2 linked regions of the Caenorhabditis elegans genome follow. The protein of the gene in region 2 interacts with the protein of the main gene of each other region in a biochemical or structural test. Each region holds a gene or a part of one and is shown on either strand. Other genes may lie near its edges.

Region 1 (4,309 bases), on a different chromosome or scaffold from region 2:
GATATAATAAAACCTTTAGGAGTATTCCTAGAATTTTAAAGAATAGAAAATATTTATATTTCATAACAAACACCAATCTTTATAAAAAATAGAACTTCACCTCTTCGTGCTCACAAAATGCAAACTTCTAGACCTCCTTGAAGTGATCTCCGTATTTTTTCATTAGTTAGACATAGTTTATGCTTTCACCTACGTTAGCGCTCAATATATAAATATCCCTTTATCCCTCTGTTAATTCAAATACTTCCTGATCCCTCCGAAATTTCAAAATGAAAGGGGTTTCAAGCTACTTGCTTTTTTCGGATTCTCTTAATGAGTTTGAATGTACTTTAAAAAACCAATGCTTTCATGAGTAGGATATAAATTAGCAACTAACTTTCCCGGGACCTCCTACACTTTGTTGCTCAAGTACGTCCCGCCCATAAGCTGTTCGTGGCTCCCCATCTCCGGACCCAATAATTGCCCTCATAACGTGTTCGTTTCTCCTTTGTTATCTGAATCTTCTTCGCGTTTTTCCTTTTCTTTTTTTCCCTACTTTTTGCTCTTCACTTCTGTTTCTTCAATGTTTTTATTTGGGGGCTTCAAGTATTAATGATCACGTCTGAACCAGGTAGTGTTGCAAAAATTCTTGATAATTACTTTTTCTTGTTCCTTTTCATTTTATAGTCTAGCCTTTCCAAATAGGTCAATTGAATTCTCTAGCAGAAAGATACTGGGGAAAAAATAAAAGATCAGGTAATTTTAATCATGTCATACCTACGTGCCTACCTATACCTTTTTGAATAAATGTTGGAACATTAAAGGTTCAACTATCAAATTAGAAAAAAAAGTACATCTTGTTTACTTCAACAATAAACAAGACGCAATGGTAGGCTCTTCAGTTTACAATCTAAAATTTTCCGAACCTTTTTCAAGTGTCTGCGAATTTCTGTGAATTTCAAAGAATTTCGTGGAAAATGTCACAGAACGGATTTTTATGAAAATTTTCGGAGAAATGCGAATTCCTCAATTTTTGTAGGACCAAAAATAACTCGGATTCTCAGTACCCACCTGTTTTTGAAAGCACGTCTGAGCCATAGGCAACGCCAAATATCTGAAGCCTGAGTCTAAACCAAGCCTAAGCCCAAACCTAAAATCAGAATCCAGGATCTGATGACAAAGAATCGTGCACTAATTTCAGGAATATGTCCCACCCCCACGGAAGTGCATTATGATGAGATGAATCTATATGAATTATTAAAGTTGTTTGGAGAGTGTGTGTGGTGAAGCTGTCAGTTAGCAGGCTTTATTTTGTTTGCGATCCATCTTTTCCTATCTGGAAAATTTGATGAAGTTGTGAGCATTTCAAGAACATGGGGTTCCCCGAAGAGGAACAATTGTGCCCCTGTTTCCAGTTGCCACCAAATGAACAGCTGAGCAATATTCATCAATTAGCTCAATTTCCTCCCTCCATTTTCTTATTTTTTCTTCAGTTTTCTTGGACATCTCTATTTTTACGTTCTGTATTCTATAGGATGCTAGTATTTTAAATATGTTTTATATGGCGTGGTGCACAGGTGTTGTGCGCACCTTCTATTTCTACATTAGGTGCCTCAGCAAAATGTAAGCCTAGGCTGCCTAGAAAGAAGGTTTTAAAAGTATTAGAGTGCTATGACGTCATGCGTATCTTAGAAAATAATATTTCCCTTATTGTCTGTGTTCTTCCTTGCATTCACTGTTCCTCTACGCACCTTGAACTTTTGCATTTTCAGCTCATAAATGCACAATTGACCAACAAACATCTTCAACTTCCACTAAACTCTCACAAAAACAATGTTGCTACTACTCTCCCGGGTTCTGGTGAACGTGATGGTGCTGATGTGCTTTGGTGGAATTCTCACGAACTTCATCTCATTCTACATCTACACTCGTAAAACATTCCGGAAAAAGAGCATAAACGTCTTGCTCGCAGCCTTGTCAATGTCTGACCTTTGCGTCTGCGTTCTTGCAATTCCAGTTTTTGCAAGTACTCAACTTCAACAAGTCATTCCGCCAACAATTACTGCAATGATCATGGTGTACTTGTATCCAGTGACCATAATGTTCCAGTCAGTGTCAGTATGGTTGCTGGTATCCATAACAATTGACAGATACTTAGCCGTATGTCATCCATTCATGGTCAATACGTATTGTACAAGGAATCGCGCTCTCATAACTGTTGGAGTTGTCGTGATATTCAGTGTTGCTTACAATTTGATTCGAATTTGGGAGTACACGATAAATTTCGATGTCGCTCCTGAGAATCGTACGATTGAAGATCTTGTTGTACCGAAGCTTCGAGCAAATCCGCACTTCTTATTGTGGTACCAGAATGTTGCCACGTTGGTGTCGCAATTCGCATTTCCACTTACAGTGTTATGTGTTCTCAACATTCAAGTAAGTTGGTTACAATGGGTTGAGGAGTAGGAGTAGGCCTTAGGCTCAGGCTTATGCTTAGATGTATGCTTAGGTTTAAGCTTAAACTTAGTCTTAGGCTTAATCTTAGATTTAGGTTTCGGCTTAGGCCTTGGCTTAAGCTTAGGCTGAGTCGTATGCTTAGGATTAGGCTGAGTATTAGGCTTAGGCTTACGTTTAGGCTTGGTCGTGTGCTTAGGCTGAGGATTAGTCATGGGTAGGGTCAGTATTACATCCTAGACTTAACTGAAGGTAGGACATTATTTTTATTTATTTAGATAAAGCATGTAATCCTAAAAACGATTAGTTTTAGTGTAACTGCCCAAATTTTCTAACAAAGCAATTTTCCAGGTAGCGCGAACAATTATCGAGGCATCCGAGCAACGAAGAGAACTAGTGGCAAGTGTGAAACGAGAACATTCGACTGCAAAAATGATGATAATGGTTGTTTTAGGTAAGATTCATTTTTTGGATATTCTAGAAATCGGATTTTTGCTCAGTGGTCGTGAAAATGAAAATACGGTCACACTCATAGACTGATAGAAGGGATTTGCGGTAAAAATTTGTTTTATTTTTTTCTACCTACCGCGAGGACAAACCCAATCTTAAAATTAGTCACTAGTTTTGAGAAACATTAAATTTTTTGGATAGCATTTGATGAAAAAATTATTTACATATCCCCAATACAATTTAGTATTAAAGTCAACAAAGTCATGAAGCTTTCAGTATTCCTCGTTTGCTACATCTTCTCATTTATTCTAAATATATGGGAAATTCTTGACAAGGAGACTTTTGGAGGAGATATTGGTTGGTTTATGAATGACATCAACAATGTACTTATTGTTGTCAACTCGACGAGTGCAATTGTTTTCTACTATAAATATTCAACAAGGTAACGAGACCTTTAATAAATAGAATATTAAATTTTTTGCCCATTTTAGGTTCCGAAATCAAGCACGGACACTTCCCGGGATACGGTGGTATGCTAGTATGTCAAAGTTCAATGTATATGATACAGAGGCAACATCAAATCGAACAATGGTCACTAGATACAAAGGTTTTTTAATTTGTAATAATATTATATCCTTACCCAATTCTTTTCAGAATCCATGATTTCAATAAGAGGCACGTCAACTCGCCTGAGCAGCTCTCACAATTTGCTCTACAAACCGAGCTACTCAAAGCCATGTGATATCTAGGAATTTGTCACAATTTATTGCCATAATCGAATTTTTGTTGTTAACGGGTTTTTAAGTGACATATCGTTTTCTTCTTTTTATCTAACAATTTTCACTGGTGTTTTTGAAAAATAAACTATCATATACTTATCATGGATTACGAAAAGAAAATCCCAGATTTTTTGAGATTTGTTTCTTAAAGTTAAAATACGTTTTCCAGGCGATGCCAAGTTTCGTTTTTCGATTTAGAATTGTATAAATACAATTTTTTCACTTTTTAAAAATAACTACTGGTTTAAAAACAGTACTGACAGAGAAACTAAAACTTTTTAAAAAATTATTATCCAGCTGTGAACTACTGAATTTTTCGCTTTAAAATATTGGTGCCCGTTCTCACCACGAACGTCACCTTTTCAAAAAAAAACTTTAAGAATTACAGTGATCCACTCTATAGAGGTGCACGGATTTATTCAGATGGGTCTCGGCGCGCTAAAAAGTTTATGGTAGTATGTTTTTTTTTTAATTTTTGCAGTTGCGTCCTCGTCCTCGTTTTTCCATTTATCAATTCAATTAATTTACTTAGTATGTCGAATTGTATCGTTAAAAAATTCGCTTAAAATGACGTAATTTCATTGAAAAATGGAAAAGCAACGAGGAAGCAGCAGCACCAATATTAAAAAAGACTACCATAAACTTTT
Region 2 (3,076 bases):
ATTTATTAGATTTAGGCTTTCTCAATAAACCTCTATTATCCAAATACGTATATTTCTGATTTTCAGGAAAACGAGCGGGTGACCATGACCAAAAAGCTCTGTATGATTTATTGCCGTAGGGATTGAGAAGCCTTTACAATGTTAATAATCATTTTGGATTATTTTCTGAAAAGTTCAACTTAACTCATACGACGCTCTCCTAGGAGAGTCGATGCACTTTGAAATAAAGTTAACAACTTTTAACGTTATAGGGAAAGGCGCGAGATCAGGCTTTTCTGTAGCTGGGCAGGTTTGATCATATTTGAATACTGCAGCGAATGAGTGGACATGAAACCAGGCTCGGGACACAATGCTTTATGGCGCGAAACTAGTCCAAAAAGCAAAAAATGTACATTGTTTTTAATCAACTTACCAGACTCACCGTATTAGCCATTCTGAACAATTTTCCTGTTTTTTATAGTTTTATTTTTTTGAAATCCTCTCATCCTTTGCATTGCATGAATTTAAGATGAAGGACTGGAAAACAGGCGTCGGTTCTTTATTTTGCAAATCGCAAATTAATTTTGATACACTGGAGTATTTGGGTAGCGACCAATCTGTACTATTAGTCAAGTGGCACAAAAATAATTGTCAAAAAAAAATACATAAATGAAAAAGGTAAGAATAGGCCGTAGAACGAGATTAAACTACAATGTGAGACCGTTTTGTTCTTGGTAATCAAGGTGTTTGCATGTACTTGTTTATTCGCTGTCCTCGATGTTCTTCTCGTTTGATTGCATCTCAAATTCCATCGAACGTTTGCCAAAACGGACCATCGATGATCTCTGCATTGGTGTCCGTTTTCCGAGTCTGAACTTCAGCTTTATTCACAAAATACTTTTCACGTCAATACGTACCGAACCATAGAAGCGCGATCAATTGATGATCTACCAAATCGGACCATTTTCGATCGGTCCATAGGTGATCTTCCAAAGCGAACCATAGCCGAACGCTCCATCGGTGAACGTTTTCCAAAACGCACCATTGAAGATCGTTGCATTGGCGACCGTTTTCCAAAGCGAACCATTGAGGACCTTTGCATTGGCGAACGCTTTCCGAATCTAACCATGGATGAGCGTTGCATTGGTGACCGTCCGAACCGAACCATTGATGAGCGTTGCATTGGAGTACGCTTTTGCTCGTCAATTCTAAAAGTGCATAGTGTGAGAATAAAGTTTTTTCTGAATAATAACAACTCACAAGTCCTCCTCTGAGAGTTGCTCTCCTGACTTCTCGAGTCTGAAAAATATAAAAAATAGAAAAAATAGGAGTTCATTCAGAATAATAAAATAAATTTATTCACTCAACAAATCACGACAACAAGAACAACATAATATCAATAAATCTCAACTCACTCAGTTGGTTCTTGAACTTGTTGTTCGGCTGATTCCTCGGCCAATACCAAAACTAGGAGACCAAGAGCAAGAAGAAGGAAGCGGGATCCAAGCATTTCTAAAAGTCTTTGAATGAAAACGAGATGGTATTTTTCGATGACGTCATGTTTCCAAACATGACGCGGAGTGGTTTAAAAATTGAAATTTCAATCGAGAAAAAATGAGGAGAAAAGTTGAAAAGTCAAAAAAAAGAACCCTTCTTTGAGTGTTGGCAGAGGGAAATTCAATTTGTAACTTGAACTGCAAATTGGATTCAAGATTGAGTGGATTGCACAAGACCAAGCAACAGTAATCAAAAAATTTGTATTTGACAATTTACTGAAAAGAAAACTGATGACGGGGCAAAATAATCACAATCAGAAACGCAATAGAAGCTGCTATCCATACTTATATACGCTTTCATATTCCTGAGCTCGAGAAAGGCTCATGCTCCACCCCCTTCTTCTCATGCCTTCTAACCTTGTCTGATGCTATGACTCCGCCTTCGTCCAAACAAAAACTGGAAATCGGAACAAGGAGAAAAAATAACACCAAAAAAAAAAAAAATCAAAATTAGGTTGGAATCCATTGAGATGGTTGGCTATTTTTGCTAAAGACGCATTAGCCCGATTAAAAAAATCCAAGTTCACAGAGCAATCAAAGTGAATTATACGGATCTTGGGACACTTCATTATTCACGCGGTCCATCTCTGTTTGATTGTGTCGGGTATTTTAGGATACTAGCAAGCACTCTCCAGAAGAGCAAAGAGAAAGATGTTTGAAACCTTTTGAGCGGTCAGTTGAGAATTTAGGAGGAAGTGTTAGAAGAAGGCAAAAATAAAAATTAATTCAACAAATAAGTTTCCAAAAATTTTGTATGTATTACTTAGACACAAAGTTATCCGTACTGATGTACGTTGAAATTTCAATTTATAAATTTAGGTATTATTAAAACTATTATCAGGCTCTTCAACCTATAAAAAAGTCATTTTGGAGCCTGAAAAAAAATTATAAAATATATTATGTTTAATTGAAATGAATAAATGAATGAAAGTTCAATTTATTTTTAAACGGGGGTTGTGATGCACAAACACATATTTATCTAGTCCTTTTTATGTAAAATATTATAAGAGTCGCATAACAAAAATAATTTTAAGTACATTACAATACAGCTTCAAGATTAAGAAAATCAAAAAATGACGTTTTTTTTCAATTGTGGATACTGAAGTTTTTTAAGTTCAATTTTGTTCAAAAACTAGTTTAAAATAAAAAAAAAGAAATTTCGGTCAGTTTTTCTTTTGATCATTGATTGTGAAATGTAGAGTTTAAAATAGTTTCAGATAAAAAACTTAAGTACAATAACAGGTCTTGACACGAGTTTTCAATAAATAATGTAAAACATACTTTTTGCTCTTTTTCAAAGTATGTTAAAAATTGTTGAAACCAAGTACCATATCTATAAAACATGTGGTTTTGTGAATCTGGGTGATATGTCATATTACGTATGTACACTTATTGTAGATGCGTTTGAGTATTTTTGCAAAACCCTTTCAAAAACATTCCATAAGTATTTTATAGAATCACCTGTGCATTTAATTTCAAACGTTTCCTCAATTATCGTAACTCGAGCAAAAGATGTGAGAGATGCCAGAAGAGAAGCTGCT

Evidence for each region. Proteins that work in one complex are often made in the same cells at the same time.
Region 1: of the proteins of flp-7 (region 2) and frpr-3, one has a biochemical effect on the other in vitro, tested with the Caenorhabditis elegans proteins (one study listed by BioGRID).

What each region holds. Positions count from the first base shown.
Region 1 is NC_003283.11:7,769,516-7,773,824, forward strand, and holds frpr-3 (G-protein coupled receptors family 1 profile domain-containing protein), read left to right. Parts: upstream 1-1,745; 5' UTR 1,746-1,812; coding exon 1,813-2,415; intron 2,416-2,784; coding exon 2,785-2,887; intron 2,888-3,159; coding exon 3,160-3,325; intron 3,326-3,374; coding exon 3,375-3,490; intron 3,491-3,537; coding exon 3,538-3,632; 3' UTR 3,633-3,754; downstream 3,755-4,309.
Region 2 is NC_003284.9:5,884,280-5,887,355, reverse strand, and holds flp-7 (TPMQRSSMVRF-amide 2), read right to left. Parts: upstream 1,492-3,076; 5' UTR 1,490-1,491; coding exon 1,395-1,489; intron 1,279-1,394; coding exon 1,240-1,278; intron 1,188-1,239; coding exon 897-1,187; intron 850-896; coding exon 741-849; 3' UTR 523-740; downstream 1-522. UniProt on the Caenorhabditis elegans protein: FMRFamide-like neuropeptides. Stimulates serotonin-induced fat loss by binding to and activating the npr-22 receptor which leads to induction of the atgl-1 lipase and subsequent fat loss.